3 linked regions of the Lytechinus pictus genome follow. The protein of the gene in region 2 binds, or shares a complex with, the protein of the main gene of each other region. Links are inferred from orthologs where the notes say so. Each region holds a gene or a part of one and is shown on either strand. Other genes may lie near its edges.

Region 1 (7,959 bases), on a different chromosome or scaffold from region 2:
TGAATATTAATTGCAGTGCACATTCCGATCCCACAAAATCAACTTCTGTAGCTGAAACAATCGGGGTTTTTTGCCATTGGGTTTTGTAACATTTGCAAATGGAACAAAATTATCCCTATAAAACACCTACATCTTAAAACCCTACAGTTGACTTTCCATAAATTCATTTTAGAATTTGAATTGAAATATCACCATCAAATTAAATAACCAACCACTACCAAAAATCTAAATAGATTTTTTTAGACTTACTGGACACCCTTCCAGTCATAGAGATAAATCTGATTTGTTTTCTTTCAACACTCTCCAGCAGGACCTACTATTGAAGTCAATACCAATGTCCAATATGAATATAATGTAAAATTAAATAGATTCTTGACTGTCTATTATTTACTATTATCATATATTATTTTGTTTGGCGCCGCCACCTGTGCCAAGAAGGCAAAAATCAAACTGAATCACTATGACCATCGGATCTCTCTCCCGATATAACTGATAGCGGTTGTGCAGGTGGACCATTACACCAGTACTACATGTAGTCTTATAGTAGAGTGCAGTGGGTTCTTAACTAGCTGGTGACTCTCCTCTCCATGGGCCTTCATTAACATCCTATCCAAAGGACAGACATGTATGTACATGTAACTGTAAGCTGAATGTATCTCTTGAAACTAGTAGTCATATGAGGGATGGATCTTCATAGAGGATGAAGTCTAATCATATGATAGTTGTGAACAGTAACAACTTTTTTTTAACTTAACTCCTTAAATATATATATAACTTTAATCAATCTTTACTTCATAACATATTTTGACACCATAACAAACAAAATAAAACTCAGTATTTGCTTTTGCTTACACATTTTGGAGCTGTATGTATCTCTTGGAATCAGCCGTCATATCAGGGATAGATCCTCGTAGGGGGAGTGCTCCATTTCCTTCATTCTCAGTGAACTGTTTGACTGCCTGGGCTAAGATCCAGTAATTTGAACTCTACAAAAACAATGAAGAAAAAATAACTTCAATCTCAAATTGGAAGTTTAGGCTGTTTGGGAAATCTTCAACACTGTTCTACAGAATCCTATGTAAAAACCTGCTAAGATTTTGTGTAGCTTTTTATATAAAATAAAACTAACTTTGCAAAAGAGGTTTCAATTGTACCATGGACTATGCAGATTTCTTGTATTATTGCACATCATACAACAAAAAATGAAGCCCTCTTTGCAAAAAGGACAAATTTGGTTGGAGTCTTCTTTCACAGTGAAATAGGCGTTATGATATGCACAAAACATACATAGTCCATGAATTTGTACCATGGTACAAGTGAAACTACCTTTGTGAATACAGGCCATTATGCTTGGGAAACATTTAAATATTTGTACACCACAGTAATAGCTGAGTAACTAATTTGTGGTTTGACATCAAGAGACCTCATGCATATGACATGATAACCTTATAGCGCCCTCCTTTTATAGGAATAAAGGTAAACAATGTTGTCAGAGATGCGCCAGCTGGAGATCCCAAATGTTTGAAGGCAATAGCTTCAGCCTCTAATGGCAGCGCGATGACACTCAATGCATGAGGTCTTTGGGAGAATCAAGCAGTCCAACCTACCTCTGAAGTTAGACTAGTACAGGCAGGATCTGTCAGGATGTCCTGGACTTGGCTTGGGATCCTGGTCTTCGTCAGGGAAGCGTTGACAGCCTTGATGGCTTCATCAAAGTTCTCTTCCAGCTCAGGCACGCCATGTTCGTTGACCAGAATCCCTCGCCTGATCATTTCCTTGAAGGCAGATTTCTCTTTGTAGTTCTTGGGTATCTCACCGTCATGCTGTTCAACAAAACAAATATTATTTCACTTTATACTTCTGTTTTAGTATCTTTCTCAAACGAAAGAAGAGAGAGTTTGGGAAACACAACAGAAGGTAAAGGGGGGGAAAGAATGATAAAAATCAATCTGCATAGGCCTATGCTCAGTTTTCAGACAACTGTATTATTCTTACCGAAGCATAAAAATAATCAAATCCAATCATATCTTACCTCTTTTCTCCATTCCTCCAAGTAGTTGTGTAAAAGGATAAGGTAAGGCGTATGCATGTGGTCCTGTAATAATAAAATCAACAAAGGTCATGATTATTGCTACTACAGTTTGAATTTATGATTTTTACATTAGCCACAGCACCAAACCTGAAATGAGACTGTTGTTGGGCATTAAAGACCCTGACTGAACTTAAAAGTGATATTGACAAATTATACCCCTGTTTTACCGGATTTCCTACCCGAGACTGGTTTCCAAAAAGTTGACCTAAATTTTTGACCCCCTATTACACCGGAATCTTAACGAGCCTTTAGGCACCCCAAGACAGCTTTCTGTGCGTTTACACCAACTTACCAAAGCTGTCTGAGATAGGTTTGGCAGGGCACCAAGCACGCGCTGTGTTTGTTGTTTGGATAATCGTTCCACCTGTAGTGCATCAAGCAAACCTTTCTCAGACCAGTCTCGGGCAGATTTGCGTTTACACCGAATCCAAAGCAGTCTCAAAGGAGATCCTGTGTAACAGGGGTCTTAAACACTAATTGAAGCTTATAAACTTACAAAACACAGCAATTATTATAATCTAGGTTTATGCATTTTCACTGCTTGCCAATAGAGTATTTTGCTTAAGAATAGCTCTATCAGGTTTCGAAAATAAGCTTTATATATCGCTTTTCATCAACTGATTTTAAAGGCCTCTGATGTCGTTCTGTATCAGAATTGTCTTGATTCCAGAATTCCAAGAATCTAGACGATTAAATAGTGGCATTAAAATTATTTCTGGCACCTCTAAGCCTTTATGAGGCCATATCATACCTGTTTTGTCATAGAAGCAAGATCAAATGACCCGACAAACTCTTTAAAACTAGAGAATGGACGATCCAGTCTCAGGTCATCATGGGCATTGTCTGGATGAGACTCGATTACTGAAAGACATAAAAAGAGACTTATGATTTTTTTTAAATCCATGTTGGCTTTGTCAGCAATTCTTTTCCACTTTTAATAATAGGTAAAACTTGGTTCAGGGTGGGGCAAGTAAAGACATTTTGTTTGATCTCTGTAAATCTCATATATAACCACAAATGCCCAATCCTCATAGTATCTTTCTCCAAGTATGATACGCAGCATTGTCAATAATAAACAAATTTACATACAGTTGTGCTTCAGAGGATGGTTCAACAACAAAAAATCAAAATCAATTTCAAGTTTGTTGAATCACTAGCAGTGTCACCCATCACTTTAATAGCCTCTTCAATTATTATTTATGTTATTTAGTTTATAACTACTGTTATCCTTTCAGTCATTCACATTGACATTTTTACTCGCTCCCCATGTATTAAAGAAATATCAAATTGCTATTATTGCCTAATCACCAACCACCATAGTCCAGCCTCTCAATGAGTCAGCTAACAAGACTTAAAAGAACTATGGCTCATCCTACCAAGCCTAGTCACTTGAACTGAACATCTCCTTACCCCTTAAACCAGTGCATCTTGATAAGGCAGTAATAATAATAATAATGGTATTTTTAGATACCATTAGACACATTACTAGTCACTTGTCATCATCAAGTTATTCTTTCATAAACATATATGAACAAGTGGAATGCCTCTGGCCGTCTCACCTGCATCACGCGATTCAATATAGCAGCAGTGCTGATTTTGAAAACTACTATAACTCGCACAAGATGTTCAGTGATACTTGGTTACTCTTATTTCCACGTTTTATGAACTAGACCAATACACTTATAGAGATATGATGGCAATTCAACAAATACCCCCAACGTGGCCGAAGTTCTTTGACCTTACATGACCTTTGACCTTGATCATGTGACCTGAAACTCGCACAGGATGTTCAGTGATACTTGATTACTATTATGTCCAAGTTTAATGAACTAGACCAACACACTTTCAAATTTATGGCTGTAATTCAACAAATACCCCAATTTGGCCAAAGTTCATTGACCCTAAATGACCTTTGACCTTGATCATGTGACCTGAAACTTGCACAGGATGTTCAGTAATACTTGATTAACCTTATGTATAAGTTTCATGAACTAGGTCCATATATTTTCTAAGTTATGATGACATTTCAAAAACTTAACCTTAGGTTAAGATTTTGATGTTGATTCCCCCAACATGGTCTAAGTTCATTGACCCTAAATGACCTTTGACCTTGGTCATGTGACATGAAACTCAGGCAGGATGTTCAGTAATACTTGATTAACCTTATGGCCAAGTTTCATGAACTAGGTCCATATACTTTCTAAGTTATGCTGTCATTTCAAAAACTTAACCTCAGGTTAAGATTTGGTGTTGACGCCGCCGCCGCCGCCGCCGCCGTCGCCGTCGCCGCCGCCGCCGCCGTCGGAAAAGCGGCGCCTATAGTCTCACTCTGCTATGCAGGTGAGACAAAAATGGGGCCTCTTGTAAAGAGTTGCGATTGATTTGATCAATCACAACTATAGAAAGCCAGTAATGTCATCTAAAATACATACATGTTTGTTCAAAATATTTTCTAGAAATGATGTATATCCTTACATTCACTGTTTTCTGGACAATTCTGTTTATTCTGTTTGTTTGTGTTTCTGTTTATGGTATCCTCGTAGGAACTCTGCAGGACAGCATTTTTGCTGGTAAACGCCAAGCTTTCAGTATGCTTCTCTTTGTTTTCAAAGGACATTGAGCAAATATCCTACAGAAAAAATTATGACACTGATGGACTGAACAGATCAATTGTAACTCTTTGTACTTCATCTCATTTCATCTTGGCCCGAATTCACAAAGGTCGACTAAAGTTATACCGGGGTTAAATTTAGTCGGGGGTTAACTAATACCGGGGTATAAAGTTAGTCCACCGCGCTATTCACAAACGGTGGACTAACTAATCCATGGACTAACTTTAGCACCCGGTGCTAAATTTAACCCACGGCTGAGTTATACCCCGGTGATAACTTTAGTCCATGGATTAAATCATGGACTGAAGCTAGCATACTATTATAACACTGCACTGAGCATGCTCAGTGTAATAAAGCAGTACTGAGCATGCCCAGTGCCGTATTTGAGAGTTTCGTCTGCTAGGGCCATATGAAATGTCGCCATTGCATCACATGAGTTAGGAAGCAGAACTCAACCCCAAAATCATGTATCAGCAGCATGAACTTGAATTTCTTAGCAATGAGGTGTTGACAACGAACATTGTCATTACTTATCTGTTAATATTTACCAACTTAGGTTCGGACTAACGTTAGCGCTGCCTGCGTGCGAGCTAGCTCGACTGCGCCTGCAGCATCGTACCGTATCGAGAAGTTCAAACTCCGTCAATGTACGGTACCGTGTGGTAGGTGCACTGCAACGTGAAGAAGTTTTAACCTTTTTTAGACAGCTGCAGCAGCCGGCTTTTTCGGGGGGTTTTACACATTTTTTTTCAATTTCTTATTTCTCAATTGGTTAGTGGAGGCAACGGAGTCCAGCGGAACAATGACACAGACCAAAGTTTTTTTTTTTTTTTGCCTTTTTGGTCTAATATGAAGTCCAGATCGATCGCCATCGTATTTACAGTGCAGTTAGACGTGGATCTAGGCCTATAATAGCGTGCCGTAACTGCGTTTTAGGCCTGAGGAAGTTACTTAGATCTACGGAAAAATAAATCTAACGTTACACGCCAATTACATCTAGATCAAGTGCACATTTGTTTGAATTAAATCATAACCAATCTGATTGTATAATCCTACCTACCTTATCGAAGTCCGGTGGAACTTTGCCCGGAGCTAGCTTTGATAGAAAATGGAAATATGGAATTGAATCTTTGTTTGGGTTATGTACTTGGTAAATGGTGGGGCCAGCGTCGCGTGGGGTGAAGCGACATGACCTTGATCTGATCTCGCGTCCACAAGCGTGCCTCTTTTCCTTTCCCTCAGAATTGACTTTCCCATTCGAAGTAATATTTTCAATTCATTTTATTCTTGTCTTTTTATATGGTGTATCTCGATAAATTGATTTAAAAAAAAAAATTAAGCGAGCAAATTTTTTTTTAAATTGACATTAAAATCCTAGTTTGTGTTAGATTTTCACATAATATCAAAAAATATTCTATTTCACCCTCATTTCTTTTATCTTTTTCTTGGTCGTGTTTTTTTTTTTTTTTTTTTTTTTTTTTTTTTTGGGGGGGGGGGGGCAAGAGCCCCAAGGCCCCCCCTCCCTATTCTATACGTCAGTTCTACCAACATCTCTAAAAGGAGCTGAGATACTCATTGGTAGCTCCTCCACACTCACTGGTCACTCTTGCAATCGCATTATTCCCAACCTTAACCTATATACTCCAGTTTGCTTTGGAGGGGGGGGGGGGGTCAAGCTATTCACCATGCTTGCAGTATTTTTTTCCTTAAAGGAAACACAATTTCCTTATCAGAAAAATAAAGACTTATCAATCCTGGATAAGTGTAAAGGGTATTCCACCCAATCATAATAATATATTTGAAATTGGGGAAATATCAGTGGGCTAAATATGGCATATCAGGTAAAATAAAAACTTGCGAGCAAGGAAAAATATTAAAAATTTTAATATCAAATATCCAATTTTGTGATAGATTTGACATAATATTCAGAAAATAATGTGTTTCACCTTTCTTTCTTTTCTTGGTAATATTTTTTATTTTGTGTTTTTTTGGTGGGGGGGGGGACTTTTTTCCATGGTCAGTGGTCCATGGTCCGCCCTCTATACTTTCAAACTGAAGGGACTAAATTTCCTAAAATAAAATAACTTTTAAACAAAGATTTATGCTATAAATATAACACCACAGGCAATTCTCTCAGTGACACATGTAGCTACCTTTACTCCTTTCATTTCTCATTTGCTTCAATCACATGTACATTATTGTGCATCTTAACGTGCCAAATACTTTTCTCTCAATTAAGTTCTATTATAAATAATTTTGCATTATGCCTTACAACAAGTTTCTTGAAGTATATCCTCCTGCACAAGCAAGCAATCACTTGACTTTCTTCATACACAACCTTAACCAACATACCATTACCACCACCCCTGTCTTACACATAACCTTAATCTCTCCTTAGCACAATTTTTATCTGAAAGTAAATAAAATAAGACTTTCTTATATAAATTTATTTTTTGCCTCCTGCAAGAACGATGAACCATGCAGCATATGGACAGAATTGATAAAAGAATTTCATTTTTGTTTTCTCCTGACACAATTACTTGAAAACGATATAAAAGGACAAGTCCACCCCCACAAAGTTGATTTGAATAAAAAGAGAAAAACACAACGAGCGTAACACTTAAAATTTCATCAAAATCTGATGTAAAGATATTAAGTTATGACATTTTTAAAGTTTTGCTTGACTAGAAACTTATATGTACATCCCAGTCGGCATGCAAACTATTTCTTTTAATTCTACGAGATGAAATATTCAAATTTTCTCTTCATTGTCAAGTGAAACCAAGATTAGTCCCCCCCCCCCCGAACATGTGGACATCATTGACTGTCTCATTTGCATGTCACTGATCTGTGCATATAACTGTGTTGTGAAAAATAAGCCAAACTTGAAAATTTCATAACGTTCCTATTTTACAACCGACGCGGATTTTGATGAAATTCTCAGCATTATGCTCGGTTGATTTTTTTTCTATTAATTCAAATCGAATTTTTTTCTGGGGAGGACTTGACCTTTAAAATCAAAACTTATATGTACATGTGTAGTAGACAGAGCAGTTTATTTAGTGCATTACTTTTTAAGGTAGATTGAAATTCTTTACATAATGATACAAATGATATGTTTACGTTTTCAGAAACTCTGAATGAAAATAGATAAACAACGGATTAAATAAAGTTTAATGAAGATTTTAAACTCTACAGCTAAAGCATGGATATCACAAGTAATTTGTCAAATATCTTTCTGAAAGAAATTAAAAG
Region 2 (7,757 bases):
GACCTGAATGCATCGTCAGAACAAGTACAGTTTCCAAACATGCTTACCTTGACTTTTGACTGGATCAAACAGCGTAACCTGCAACATGCATCGGGAGCAAGTGAATGGGACCGTGCAGCTTGGAGTTTTTCAATAGTTAGTAGAGCAACACAACGAAGACTGTCGAGTGGACAAAATCAATCTTTCCAGTTCACAATTCAATAAAAACCGGGCAAAATAACACAGTTCTGGTTCCCTTATAGTCTGAAGTTGTCGAAAACAGAATTCGGATATCACAATACATGAAGAAAACGGTAAATTCGAAGAAAAATAGAGACCAGGAAGGTGAATCAGCTATCAGTGTACTGCTGGCTTGAACAGAGCTAGAGAGCGGCTGAGTGAGTCGATCATCATGTGACGTCATTATTCTCGACTGTATTTAATCGCGTTAGTGTGTGTCTGGGGGCGGCTGGGGGGCTGAGAAGGGTCTCTAATAATTTCATATCTTGCATTTCCACGACATCAATAAGACTTTTTAGTGACATATTTGTGTATAAAAAGACAAGACCTTTCCATTCATATATAATTTGTCTATAATCATCACTTTCGTGAATTTTCTTTGGATGTATACTTTAATAATAATAATAGTCAGTTCTTGTATAGCGCATAATACATTATGAATAACGTCTAAATGTGCTTCCAAAGGACTTGGATATTATTATATACCTTCTTTGTGATTAAGTGATATTTAGTGATTAATAATTGTTCCACAGAAATCTCCTACAGGTCTTTGTGACATTTGTTCAATTTTATCTGAATCATTATCATTATTTACATTTCATCTAAATTTCAGTTAAATTGGTTGGTTTTACAAAAAGTCTGTTTCTGTAGCTTTTCTTTGATGTTAATTTAAATTTCATGCAAATGATTAACAAATTGCATTTAAATTTAATTCCAATTTTTAAGTAATGATTGGTCCACAAGAAAATCTCACTCTGTGATATTTCTTTAATTTTATCAAAATTCAATATATATCATTATTACTATTTAAATTTCATTCTCAATTTCATTAAAAATGACAAAGTATATAACTGGTCCATAAAAAAATATGTTTGTGTGATATTTTCTGATGCCTCATACCCTATTTTACTGACATTTTTCCCCCTTAGCTTTGTCAAAAATTGCTGAAATGAGGGTTAACTAATCATATAAAATAGAAAAAAAAATTGAATCAATACATAGTCATTTTATTACCTTTATTACCTTTATTACCGGATCTACTGGAAAAATGCAATTACTTATGCAGTCGTGTTTCCAGGTCTATCACTGTTGCTATCTCCATCTAACTATTAAAATAACGTGTGCCTGTGTGCTGTGCCAGAGTTACTATTCCCAAGGGTGAGTATATTGCACTGCAGACCAAAACTTGTCTAACTGTGACTTGAATCTGTTCAACGTTGATGTAGTAACTATCTCTGCCGGCAAGGAGTTCCAGTCATTTACAACTCTGGCACTGAAAGTATTTTTTCTAACATCCAGTCTGCTTCTCTTCACATACAATTTGCATAGATGTCCACGTGTTGTCTGAGTTGATGCAGATGTAAAGAACATCTCCTTGTTCAAATCATCAATGCCATTGATGATCTTGTACGTCTGTACAAGATCTTGTACATATCACTATGTGCTGGTGAGTGGTCTGCATACCAAGCAGGTATTTTTGAGATGATTAAACATAATAAAAGATGAGGCATTATAATTCAATAAAAATTCAACCTTTAAAAGCTTAAATTTTGAAAGATATAGAGCCTACCTCTGAACTTGGCTCAAATTCTGGAGTAGCCAAAGGTCCTGATCTTTCCAATAGTTTTCTGATGTGTGTCCATCGTCCTGACCAGTCTGCTGTTTCTGGACTGTCCACTGTCATCCTGGAAAAAGGTAAGAAATATGATAAATTCACTCAGGGTTGCTTTATACATAACTGATTTACTTTTTAAAGAATTGGACATTCCTGTTTTTGGAAACTAAACACTTATTTGAACCTGAGTTCAACTGCCCTGATTTTCTAAAAGAAGTTCTTGCTTCAACAACTTTCAAAAGTGACAAAAGCATGAAACGCGATGAAGTTACTTCGCAAGTTACCAAAATCATGCGAACATACTGCAAACGTAAGGGCGAGCTGTCGTACTTTGCTAACTTCAGTCCATATCTGCATTACAGTGAATCCAAGAGAAGCGCTGTCTGCATGAAAATTTGAATGACAACATAGAGATCTAAGCGAAGCGGACAGCAATTCCAAAAACCCAATCGCGAAATTCGGAAAAGCATTATTGATCTTGATTTGAGACTTGCTATGATATTTGTGAACAATTACTGGTGGGGAAATTATCTCAAAGTCGGCCGGTGCGAAGCTGCATTAGCGCCAAGTAGAGAATCGGGGCCCCTGCAAGAAAGCCGCAGTCACTCACATTCAATCGCGTCCGCCAGTATCATACTCTGGACCTACATCACAATTATAAACATATGGGACTGTACAACTCAACAAAAGCACAACCCCAACATAATTGACAAATACGTACGGTTCTTCCGCCATTTTTACAAATTGTAGATACTATTCGAAAGTTCAGAAGCTATAGAATGTATTTTGGATGATCAAAAATATCAAAATAAGTCCTTTGTGGAGAGTTTGACATGAATATTAGCAGAAGTTTCCCCCACAAGTTCTGGCAGAGATACTAGTCGCAAATGTTCTCCGACTGCTGCCGGAGCTGGCGCTCGTGAAATTTGACGTCAACATCGCAATCATGGATGATATTGAAATCCCTCCTCTTCGTTCTTTGGATGATTTCATCAAGGAATCGGCCAGATTTTCTGCCCCAGCCCTAGGAAATCCAACCAGATGGGCCAATCGGGTGATAGATAATTTATTGTACTACCAATCGAATTATTTCCTCACTCTTATCGTCATTTTCCTTATTGTTGGGTGAGTGCGTTGCCCCATGCACCTTTATTTGTGTTGGAAAATTGATGAATGATGTTGTTTGGAATGGGCGTGGTCATCACTTCTTTTATTTTATCAGGTGTCAGCATTTAATCAAAGACTGGTTTCCCAGATGTTTTAGCAAACAGATTAAAGTTAAACAAAATGTTGAAGAAGCTCTCACACATAGTGCATGAGTGGATCGTAATACCGAACACTGTAAATATCAGTGTACCGGTATGACTATGAATTCAATCATATCAAACACAAAATTCTTATAAAATTCAACAAACTCATACTCTTAACATGAATACACAAAGAGCTATGACATATTAATATGTAAACATTTTGCCGAAATCATTTTTCTTTTTTACGATATCAGCTACTAGTCGGACCCCTCTTCGCATGTGAAATATATTATTTTTGGTCCCTTGAAAATGGTATTGTAATTACCGAACATGTGTTTTCCATGTAAAAGTTGAAAAAACAGCAAAATCACTGATGTTGAGAATATAAAGACTTAGAAAATGTGTTTTTGACCATTTTTCATTATCCTTCTATTCAAGTTCCATTTGGAAGGATATTGCAAAGCTTTTAGCTTATGAAATTATTTTCTGACGCCTATGATTCGTGCGTTTGGTAATACAAGGAATGGAATATGGAATATGATACTAGTTGTCATCAGACTACCCAAAAATATTTTATTAGAATTTAGATCTAAGCCTTGAAGATTGTTATTGTTTGAGAAGACAAAGAAAATGAAAATAATAGCAAAATTACTGCTGATTATATGACAATCTGATGCATTTAGTAAAAATATTTATACCCAAGTCATGCATGTTCTGACAAGTTGTAGGCAATATGAAAATTTCATGCACTCTGCAAGCAATATTTCATAAAATGAAGTTTGGACAAAATTTCAGATTACAAACTTTCACATACATTTGTGCTTGACATTAGTTTTTGTTGTAATCAAGGCATAAGATGATGCTTTTATCTACTAACATGTCAGGACATTGCCCCCCATAATTATAAAGACAAATATATCAATATTGTATGAATACAATGATATAGTTGGCCATTTCCTTTCATATTCTGCAGCTGTATAAACCCTGTTCAGATGTTATGGGGCTTAGCCATCGTGATCGCAGCATTCTTCGGATTTGGTTACTGGTCTGCCAATAAGAGAGAAGTAAACGATTTCAAGAAAGCCCATCCAGTGATCTGTCTAATTGCACTCTGCTTGGTGATCTGGCTTTTCATGTATCTCTTTGGAAGTATTCTCGTTCTCATCTGGGGCTTGGCTGCACCAGCAGCTGGTAAGACTCGTGGGGCATTGCAAGAAAGTTGCAGTCAATTCGGTGGATTCACCATACGGTGCGGCATCTATCGGTTGCAGCAGACAGGCCAATTTCTAACTTCGGGGTCGACATGACGCGCAGGCGCAGGCAGCGCACAGTGTTATGTGACTGATTCTTCAAAAATGAAAACCATATGGCATGAAGCAGAGTAAGAATTCATCAAAAAACGGTCTAAATTTCGCAAATAAAAATGCAGTAAATTTCCCTCCCACCTCCTGGACCCTGGTACACTGCATGATTTTATGGAAGCCGGCCAAACCGCATCAGCCAGTGCAGCATTTCGCATGCATGCACACAACAGAATAGGTGATACACCATATTGTGAATCCACCGAATTGCAAGTCAAGTTTAGGTCCCAATATCAACCATAACTCTAGCAATTAATGCTTGCCTGCTCGTCTGCTTCTTGCAGTAAGAAGTAAACATCAATTTTGCTATAGTTACAATCGATAGAAATTTACAATTGATTGCAGATATTTTCTTGTGACACTACATGTATTTCAGAAACCTTTTGTTTGAACATATGGGTCTCAAATGTTTTATGACAGCAACAGTTACAATGAATTTAGGCCTACTACAAAAAAATGTTAAATTAGAAGGCTAGGTGTCCAGACACATTACTTCCTATCTTTCAGGAAATATTGAGTAATTCCGTTCAAAGAGGTCAAATTGTCATGAGGAAGTTGAAAGAGGAATCCCAATAGTTTTTTTAATCAATGGGTTTTTAATTTGCCGGTAATATTTTCATTTGTTTATGATTCACATGTACACAGTCATGTGTGTGATCTTTAGGCAGAATGGTCATTCACATTTCGGACTTTACATTTCAATAATTTTCAGGCAAGGCCATTTTTCTCAATGGGAATTTTTCTATATAATGGCATAAATGGGAAACCTATGACTTTGTGCTTATAAAGTAATCTTTACAGACAGTGAGGGAAGTACATGTATGAAGGCCAATCAATAGGGTATCTATAGCTTTGGATTACATCAAGCACTACGATGATTGCAGATTTCTTGAAAGTAAGAGCGCATGTGTAATTCTGAAGGAAAAAAATATATACAGCAAGTCCCTGAGGGTGCACACATCATTGGTGGTAATGGCTTCCTGAGTGATTTTAATGATGGTTTGCATTTGTTTCAATTTTTTTGTGTGATTATCAGAATCTTCATTCTTCTTTGTCTTCCTACAGTGATCTTCATCCACGCCTCCCTGCGGATGCGCAACATGAAGAACAAGATGAGCAAGAAGCTGGAGTCCCTTGGTCTAAAGAGAACACCCATGGGCATCATCCTCTTTACCATTGGTCTGGAGGAGCAAGCAAGGTCATGACTAGAGAAAATGGGGTTTCAACTGTGCAACCAGAGACTGCTTGAAGGCAACGAGCACACCTTCAGGCATCGTTTGGAGAGAGGCGAGGAGGTAGAGGGAAGCTGGTACCACGTACCTCACGAAGGAGAGGTAGTCACTCCCCGTCAACAATCATTTCGTACATTGGCGACTTTAGGAATAATTATGAAGACCCTTCTCCCATCAAGAAATAAGTCTTCTTCAAGTAAGTCATCTGAAAATCGTTCGTCTGGAAGTAAACTTTCGCAAAATCGTCCACAATCACTTGCTCCTGTTGAGCTGGCACAAGAAGCAAAAGAAGATGTTGTTACTAAACAACCAAGAAAAATAAAGTTTAGCTACAAACCTAAATTGGATTAAGAATCAATATATTACAGATCATTGACTCTGGCAAAAGGTTGGTACTGTTATTGAGTAATAAAAAAAACCACTTTTACCGGAAGCCAAGAGTATTTATGGATAACTATTTCAAAGTATAACAAAACTATATATTATTCAGGGTTTATTAAAATTACACAATTGGATGTTCTTTCAAAGAATGTCATCTCCCGCTAGATGTGGCACAACTGAAATACAAGTTATTCACAAAATATTGTACGGGGTTTTGTACATTGCCCTTGCATATTTGTGAAAATCAATTTCATGGACAAGTATACAAGCTGTACTTCTTTGTATTAAAACAATTGATGAGTCCAGACAAGTAGTTTTGATACAGTTTGCAAATTTTGAACTTTACAATTTAATATTTATGATAACAGTATTTATACATGTTTAGCCTATAAATAAGCTTATTAATAAATGCAATGTGTCAGGACTGTTTGTTGTGAATGGGAATTATTATTTTTTATTTGTAACAAGTATCATATACATGTAGTTGTTATTCCTACTAATAATGGATTCATTATAATTTTATAACTTAACTAAGAATGGGATATATCTTTAGTAGTTTAGTCTAATGGGAAACATGCTTATGGTCACAGATATATGTAGTGAATGGTATTAGGTGGTCAGGTGAAGAATATAGAGGGAAATGTATGAAGAAAGACACAGCCAAAGTAAAAAGAAAGAAATAGTGCATATATATTGTTTTCATGGTGTTCCTTCTTCACTTCAACTCATATGGACAGTAATAGTAATTGCATACTTGCCAAGAATGTATCAATACATCCTAAAAAACTAAATCATTAAGAAGTATTGTCTATGTATAAACAGTAGAGAAAAAAATTTCAATATCTTTCATTTTCTTTGAATCTCCACATTTCCCCATTTTGCAATTTGTGAATATGAAGGTATATTAACATGCCAGTGAATGTTCATGTAATATATTTGTATGATAACAATGAATAATATAATGTGTAATATAATGTGCAAAGTATGTCTATAACTTTTGGACCAGTACAATGCCATGATGGCTTTCTATTTTTGTCAATCTCTGCCTGCATTGTGCTTGCTTGGCTTGTTATGAAATTTCATGCTTTTGCTGATCATGGGTGAAAATTCATGTTTTGTATGCTATATTCCAGTTCAAAGAATAAATTAGTTGGCATTCTTATTTGTTGCAAGTCCTAATCAGACCACTTACCCGTGTATATTGAATGAAAGTATTAAATTTTTCTCTCATAAACCAATAAATTATCATTCTCAAATAGTGAAAATTTTCCACATGTTAAATGCCTGGATGCAGCCTATGAAGATGGTGCAGAATGCCTATCAAAATAATTGATTTAATTCCAAATACTAGATGGTCATTTATAAAGCATCTTAAGGCAGACAATTTCAACTGAATACCAAAGTTGGCAAAGTGAGTTACAAATGGAAGTCACTTTAGAAGAATATTTTGTAATTTCTGATTTGAATATTGAAAGTAAAGTGATATGACTATCTTCAATTGTGTTACAGTATGTGAGCACTGATAACCATAAAAATAAAAGTTATAAATGTAAGGATTTTTTTTGTATGTTATAATCAATTCATCGCTAAGTATATTTGATGAATATGATGATGCAAAATGAATAACTGCTTTGTTTTTCAGCTTGTGAAATGAAAAAATAATATGAATTTATTGTGGAATTAGAGATGACAAGACATG
Region 3 (6,912 bases), on a different chromosome or scaffold from region 2:
TTTGAGTACCACCTCACATTCCAAGCTTATGATAAGTGTAGTGCCTGTAAAATATTTATTCACCTGTGAAATTTGAAATTCAGATTTCTGGATATTAAGCTCAAGTTCTTTATAATGTTTTCCTTTTTCTTTAATTAATTGGAACAAAATTTAAAGATTACATATCAGATAGCCAGTGCAACGTACAAACAAATATTTGGTCAAGATCCCACGCATAACAACTTGACATATATCAAAAAATTGCCAAAATAATCTCACTCAAACATGTTTTTATTGAATTATTCCTATCAGTCTTACCATCAGTTTAAAGATATATATTACAAACTGAAATAGTGACCATCACATGTGCAAGATTTAGGATAGCTTTGAAAGAGAATATTACAAGTAAATCTCTCCTAGCTTTTCTTTTTATTTTATCTTGTTTTTTTTTGTAGTTTGTTTGCTATAAACTTATTTCCTTACTTGGTAAGCTGGATGTCATTTCAGGCACTTCTTTAACAAGCAATCTGTCTCGTATGGAAACTCGCTTTGTTGAATTGTTAAGGTCTGTGGATTTGGAGTTTGAACCAGTTGACTTCCTGGCTGCATCTTCCTTTAATTTCTTTGACAGAGTAATCATCATTAACTGTAAAGATACAAGAAATTCATTTCAAAACGATAAACAGAGCTGCTTGCAAAAAATAAAGAAATATCCTCATTATGCATATGATATTGGAATATTTTGTGTTTCGGGTAGTTTAGTGGCACCATATACAAGTACATGGTATTTTGGGCTATATATCTTACATTCAGTTGGACTTGTCAATAAGGACATAAAAGAAGAAAGTACCTTGATATTTTTAATGCCATATTCAAAGAGTGCATGTAGATCTATATGGTTAAGTCATGGCAAGTCAGATGGGGGGGGGGGGGGGCTTGGGAGGGCTCTAGCTCTTGCCAAAAAAAAAATCATGACTAAGGCAAGGGGCAAAAATAGAAAAATAAAAGAAAAGGAAAGAGAGAAGAGTGGAATATATAATTTTCTGAATATCATGTAAAAAGATCTATCACATAATTGGGTTTTTGATAAAATGTCAAAATTTTGGCTCACTCACTTTGCTCGCTCGCAACTTTTTATAACTTTTACGCGAAAGTCGATACGCCATATCCACTCACACGTATTGCAAGGTTAGTATGCTAGACTAACCTTGCACACCCGTGTTTGGGTGTGGATTTTTAAGAAGTTGGCAAACATCGCTTCATTACAGAAGTAATGTTTGCCGAAACTTCTTTTTGCTACGTACCGGGGCTCTTCCCAGTGAGTCGCTATACTATTTTAATTTTTTTACCATTTTTATATATCAAAAACACACAAAACAGAGCAAAATTGCCTACCTCGGCTTGGAAAGTGGTTTCGCATGTCTCTTCCACGGAAATAAAAGGAAGCTTGATGGTCGCGCTAATAAAATTCACAACCTTAATTCAGCTCATCAGTAATTTAATAACTGTGTCTAAAATTCATTGTTTGCGCAATTCCTATGATTGCTTCATAAATTATAGGTCTATACACGTACACCAATAAATAGAATACCTTCAAAAACATACTTTTAGATTATTATTGCTGATGGAAATCATTTAAAGAGACAACAAAATTAAACAAAAATAGAAAAATTCTTTCTGCCTTGAACTAGACCAGCAGTGCAAGCCTTCATTTGCCAACAAATGGTCCATCAATGTCTATACAATGAAAAAACTGGACACTTTGCCGACTTCGCTAACGCATCGATTTCGATATATGAATATAAATCGCATGCCCTCTTACCCTTAGACAAAAAACTCAGAATCTGCTAGTGATGTCCTCCAAAGCTCATTAAAGAGAAGAAAAAATTGTTAAAATTTCCCCAATTGACGAATATTTGGGAAAAGTGGCTTCATATTATCATTTGGGAAGTCTCATACCGGTACCAAAATTTGATTTGATTTAAAAATAAAAATAAACTTCGCGCAATCCAATGGAAGTGTTGCATGCATTGTGCTAACCCATGTTACGATTTTTAACAAAAATGGCCGATCGAAACGGGGGTAGAAGGAGAGAACTTTTCGTTTTTTTGAGGTTCCAGTCTGTGCCCAGATGTCAGGAAACTGCCACTTGTTAGACCTTCATCCATATATAATCGTGGTAATTGTATACTTTCTGTTTTCACAATTCATTTGGAGAAATATTTTGACCATAAATCACCCTAGTCCGGTGAATATGGTCAAATACACGGTAAGCTTCTGGGCTCCCGCCCGCGCAGCGGGCGGGAGCTCTCTGGGTTAGCGTTGTGCCTGTGCATGGTTGCATGTAACTATTGTATGGGTGCGCCAACGCGCCAGCCGTTGTAGCAGGCCCAACGTTAGATCTAACTTTAGATCGGCCTCTAACGTTAGTCTTTCTAGATCTATTCCATTTCTAATTTATCATCTAACTTGACTAGAGTTAGATCTATCTAGTATTAGTAATACGTTAGCCCCCTCTTATAATTATATTAACTTGGCTCATAATTTTGTTCAATACGACGTATTCTCTTCAACAGAGTATGCTACATTACAATTTGAATATCTATAATCTAACTCCAAAAACTTCTATTAGACATTGCAAAAGAAAATGCAATATTGCGACATGCACAAGAATCGATCCGTGGCCGTGAGACTGATGAGAGAGATGTGAATGTGACTGTGAGTGTGAGACTGAGAAAGGCAGCGGGTAAGGCATGCAGCGAGCGCAAAGTGAATGACAGACTACTATACCGTATTACCGGTACCGTATTACCGGTACCGTACTCCCGGATAGATTATATTTATATTTTAGGAAAAATTTACAGCCTGATTGCATTATTCTCACTCACGTGAATTGCATAGGAAGCACACCTCTCTTTATTTCTCTGAATTATTTGCACCAGCTTCGAGTAGAATTGAAGAAGTAACATAGAACTATGGCTTGATGGTCCCTGATAAAAACATGTCTCTTGCTCTTACCAAACAAAACAAACCAAATTAAAATTGGTCTGAAGCTTATGGTATTGTTGAGTCTTCAAAGAAATCTAGAAAATAAAAATAGACAGAGAGAGAGAGAGAAAGCAGCTGGGAAAGTTGTTGGGGAACAGAACATTCGCTCATGCCAAGGTGCTAATTAGTCATGTTTATTTTCTCGATTTATTTGAAGCTACAACAATAACAAATACTGGTGAAAAATATTCAGAGAAATGAAGAGAGGAGTGCTTCCTATTTTCCAAAGGGGGAGGGGGCATATTTTCCCAATCGGACAAGCAAAAAAAAAAATGTTGTCACTAAAAAATGAGAAGGTCAATGTGTCCAACGTAAAATTTGACTCGTAAAGGGGGGGACACAGGCCGTAATGTCCCCCCCTGGATCCGCGATTAGACTGAAGTTACTGATAAGTAATAGACCTATTTAGCTTTATTTTTATAAATAAATATTGGGTATTTCAGATAAAGAGCTTGATTCCAAAAAAGGGGCTAAATCCAGTTTTGACCAAATTTTTTTTTATTTTAAATATATGTATCTTAGACATGGGAATCCAATGCACCACCTCGCATATGAATTTTTTTTTTGGAAGATTGATAAAACTTGATTGCAAATTTTAGTTTTATTCCTAAAGGAGCTAAATCCACTACCGGGTCATTAAAATTGGTTAATTTTACTACTTTACATAAAGTAATGCATTCAAATTTTAGGTAGGCCTATATGTTGTTATACAAGCTCACACCATTTGTGAATATTTTATAGAAATGACATAATTTTACTATTTTTATGAACATTTTTTAGATTTAGCTGCTTCAACATCGAAAAGTAATCGTATTTAGAAAAAATGGAAAAAAATCTTTTAAAATTTTCAATGGAAAAACATCAGATATGATGTAAAATCTACTTTTTAGCAATTTTCATGTGTTTCGTGTTCAATTTATTAACCCTATTGGGTTAAATTGGCAAAAATCATTAAATTTACTGTATCTTATAAAATATTTGTGCTATCATGATGAATTCGACAGCAAACAATTGAGTATGTCATGCCCCTTCATCGCATTGCTTTGCCATCGGGAGCTGAAAAATATTTAGGTGTCATTTTTTTCCCCAAAAAAATCTTCATATTTTACACAAATTAAAAATAATGAAAAAAAAAGCATTTCATATTTGTGCTAGTTACTTCTCAACACAAGCATTTCAGATTACACTTTTTTGTTCAGTGGTGATCACATATCATGATAGAAAATGTAATATAAATCATAGATTTGACATTTATCCGGGACATTTATCTATTTATATGAAACGCTGTTTGAAAATATAATTAAAAAAACAATATAATAGGGCCTACATTTGGCACAAATATTACTTCATTTTCTTCAAAAAAATTCTACCTGAAATAATTAATTTCAACGGCATCCCAATCATGTGAAAGAGCTTTTAAAAGACGCTCTTTCATTTTGATACCAAATTTCCTCATGGTAGTATTTATATGTCTGAAGATATACACCTGAAGTAAATTTTACGATGTTTGGCAAGCGAACAAATTTCACTGAATATGGGTGTATGTAAACTTTTGGTCTCATCATGCCTTATCATGCCTTAATCGCAAATACAATAGACAAATGACCTATCATTGTAAAGCTTAGGGTTTCCTCTTTCATTTGAAATAACTTAGATTATTCCTCATTCATGCATGAGTGCATGAGCAAAAACAATTTGGAAAAAAAAAAAGTCACTTGGCGGGCGGTATCTGAGTTTCAAAAAGAAAATCACATTTTTAAAAAGTTCAATATCTACTCTTTAATTTGATACCTCAATTACAGAAAACGGTCGGGAAATAACTAAGTTCTGTTTAATGGAAATAAGGCTTAAATTCCAATAATTTTACAGGATAGCTTTTAGACTTATTCGACACTCCGTTTTGTTGACGATCAGCCGTGCAGAAAGTCTTTTTATTAACTGTGCGATATAGCTTGGGTGGGAAACCGGTGAAAACACGTATGTTTCATGGAATTATGGAAATGCAAGCATTGTTTCGAAGAAACCTAACTTTGTTATTTCTTGACCATTTTCTGCGATTTAGCTATCAAATTAAAGAGCACGAATTTAACTTTTTAGGCATGTGATTTTCTGTTTGAAATTTTAATACCCTCCGCCAAAATGTTTTTACTCACGAGCTCATGCGTGGATGAAAACTATTATATGTTATACCAGCAAAAAAAAAAGACATTCTAAGCTTTACAATGATAGGTCATTTGTTTATTGTATTTGTGATTAAGTTATGATAAATCATCGCTTAACATCGGGTTCGTTTTTGTGGGTCGCACGGTATAATGCAAGGAGAGAAGCGCCTAACTATTAATATAAGGCTATGGATTTTTACCCCGCGTATTCCTCGTTCTTCGCTCTCTTATGGGAAGGCAGAGGGCGACACTTTGATTTTTAAGTCGTAAAAAATAAGGGGAAAAGAAAGAAGAGAATCAGACAGAGAAATCGGTGTCGGTTATTATCAGTAATATTCAACTGAGAAAAAATGGCATGTCTTGCCCCAGTAATTAGAATAGGCTACAAGCATATAAATTCGACAATAATGTTTAACTCCATTTATTTTAAAGTTCAAAACAACCTTGCTTCTATAATGATTATTTTCTGAACGATAACACATTTGGAGTCGTGCTTATTTCCAATTTGAAGCATGAAGAATTTGCCAGAGGAGCAAGCGAATTGCGCCAGCTCGAGTTGGGTAAGTTTTATTATGTGAGGAAAGCATCGTGTTGTCAATAGTAAAGAATAATTTACCAGGGCAAGCGTTTGTAGCCTGGGCAGAAAGTTCCATATGTGCTCTCACGGGTTTAAGGTTGCATTATTTCGAGCATCGTGTACTCCGCTGTTTGCTGCACATCTGTGGTGCAGATAGTGAGAAGAGCAGTTTAAGGATACTTGTGGTAGCTTATATTATGAACGATGCAATGAGACTGCTCCTTCGGTTACTCAGACACTCTAGTGCTAGTAGAATGTTTGCTGATGCCCATGTACACTCATGTCAAGCAGTTTTTAGAAACTTAACTTTTAAGTTTATTGAGAGAATTGACATTTCTCAAAATACTAATGTAAGTATATTTTTAAACCCACTGCAGAGCTGTACGCCATACATCAGAACTGTGGAAGCATTGATGTAACAATCTAATGGCAGAGTCATGAGTCTTGATCTACTAAAATAGTTACGTATATTTGTCTTTTGTTGAAACAAGTTTCTCATATAACCATTTGTAAATATTTCCATTGTACTTTTCATACATTGCTGTAATTTTGTTTTATGTATTAATTATTTATTTCTAGTAATATTTTAGTGTGATTATTTTATACCTTGTTCGATACTCTCTATACATAATTATTTGTTCTTTGTTTAATCCAGTTTTATCTCTGTATATATGTCTGTCTTAATGTATAGTATGATATTTGTTCATATGGACCTCTGCTTAGCTGTGTCTGGAATAAAGTCTTGAAAATTGAATTAAAATTACTCACCATTTTCAGGCGCGTATCCAGGTTTTGCATCCCGGGGGCCCCGACCTAATTTTAGCGCCCCTTAGAACTTTTCGGAAAATGGCGCCCCCACCCCGCCCGTCAAACATAGGTAAATGCATGTTGAATTATCTTATTTTATAATCACGTGAACAAAGGCAATCAAAGACCACTTTTATTTAAGATGTTTATGAAAACAAATATCCATGAATATGTTGTAATACCACTTTTTGAAAATAATAAATGCGACCAGGAGATCGTTTCATGAAAGGACTTGACAGACGTTTTATCCGACAATTCCTGTTTTATTCGACAGTAACTATAGGAACGATGTCTCTTTTTAGCCAATCAAAGTCAAGAAAAGATGTCAGATCTGACAAC

Evidence for each region.
Region 1: the proteins of NEDD8-activating enzyme E1 catalytic subunit-like (region 2) and NEDD8-activating enzyme E1 regulatory subunit-like are in contact, whole or in part, in a crystal structure (PDB 3DBR), measured with the Homo sapiens proteins. The link is inferred for Lytechinus pictus from reciprocal best matches to the Homo sapiens genes UBA3 and NAE1. Residues at the interface, in NP_003959.3 of Homo sapiens: Trp34, Glu35, Gly36, Arg37, Trp38, Asn39, His40, Lys43, Phe44, Glu46, Arg47, Ser48, Gly49, Pro50, Phe51, Thr52, Phe56, Glu83, Lys86, Asn87, Leu90, Ser91, Val106, Ser107, Leu109, Asn110, Arg111, Phe113, Leu114, Arg116; in NP_003896.1 of Homo sapiens: Glu10, Gln11, Lys12, Tyr13, Asp14, Arg15, Gln16, Leu17, Arg18, Leu19, Trp20, Asp22, Glu44, Lys47, Asn48, Leu51, Pro52, Gly67, Glu68, Ala70, Gly71, Asn72, Asn73, Phe74, Phe75, Gln77, Arg78, Ile81, Phe92, Glu95.
Region 3: the proteins of NEDD8-activating enzyme E1 catalytic subunit-like (region 2) and NEDD8-conjugating enzyme UBE2F-like are in contact, whole or in part, in a crystal structure (PDB 3FN1), measured with the Homo sapiens proteins. The link is inferred for Lytechinus pictus from reciprocal best matches to the Homo sapiens genes UBA3 and UBE2F. Residues at the interface, in NP_003959.3 of Homo sapiens: Ala401, Thr403, Thr405, Leu406, Glu407, Gly408, Asn410, Arg411, Thr412, Ser417, Val418, Thr419, Ser420, Ile421, Arg424, Thr425, Gln442, Glu443, Ala445, Ala447, Asp448, Val449, Thr451, Pro452, Gln453, Thr454, Leu456; in NP_001265234.1 of Homo sapiens: Thr27, Arg28, Arg29, Val30, Asp34, Lys35, Val38, Lys39, Val41, Ala42, Glu45, Val54, His55, Phe56, Pro57, Asp58, Pro59, Asn60, Leu62.

The regions. Positions count from the first base shown.
Region 1 is NC_087246.1:57,534,702-57,542,660, forward strand, and holds the start of NEDD8-activating enzyme E1 regulatory subunit-like, read right to left. Parts: upstream 3,012-7,959; 5' UTR 2,997-3,011; coding exon 2,844-2,996; intron 2,096-2,843; coding exon 2,033-2,095; intron 1,824-2,032; coding exon 1,608-1,823; intron 987-1,607; coding exon 853-986; intron 1-852. UniProt on the Homo sapiens protein: Regulatory subunit of the dimeric UBA3-NAE1 E1 enzyme. E1 activates NEDD8 by first adenylating its C-terminal glycine residue with ATP, thereafter linking this residue to the side chain of the catalytic cysteine, yielding a NEDD8-UBA3 thioester and free AMP.
Region 2 is NC_087247.1:8,072,492-8,080,248, reverse strand, and holds the start of NEDD8-activating enzyme E1 catalytic subunit-like, read right to left. Parts: upstream 3,010-7,757; 5' UTR 2,960-3,009; coding exon of another isoform or gene 2,781-2,959; 5' UTR 2,570-2,780; coding exon 2,556-2,569; exon of another isoform or gene 2,405-2,555; intron 1,905-2,404; coding exon 1,790-1,904; intron 1-1,789. Other genes in the region: PRA1 family protein 2-like, read left to right, coding at 2,781-2,959, 4,058-4,275, 5,511-5,650. UniProt on the Homo sapiens protein: Catalytic subunit of the dimeric UBA3-NAE1 E1 enzyme. E1 activates NEDD8 by first adenylating its C-terminal glycine residue with ATP, thereafter linking this residue to the side chain of the catalytic cysteine, yielding a NEDD8-UBA3 thioester and free AMP.
Region 3 is NC_087245.1:21,324,552-21,331,463, reverse strand, and holds the start of NEDD8-conjugating enzyme UBE2F-like, read right to left. Parts: upstream 3,012-6,912; 5' UTR 2,949-3,011; coding exon 2,868-2,948; intron 626-2,867; coding exon 463-625; intron 1-462. UniProt on the Homo sapiens protein: Accepts the ubiquitin-like protein NEDD8 from the UBA3-NAE1 E1 complex and catalyzes its covalent attachment to other proteins. Together with the E3 ubiquitin ligase RNF7/RBX2, specifically neddylates cullin-5 (CUL5).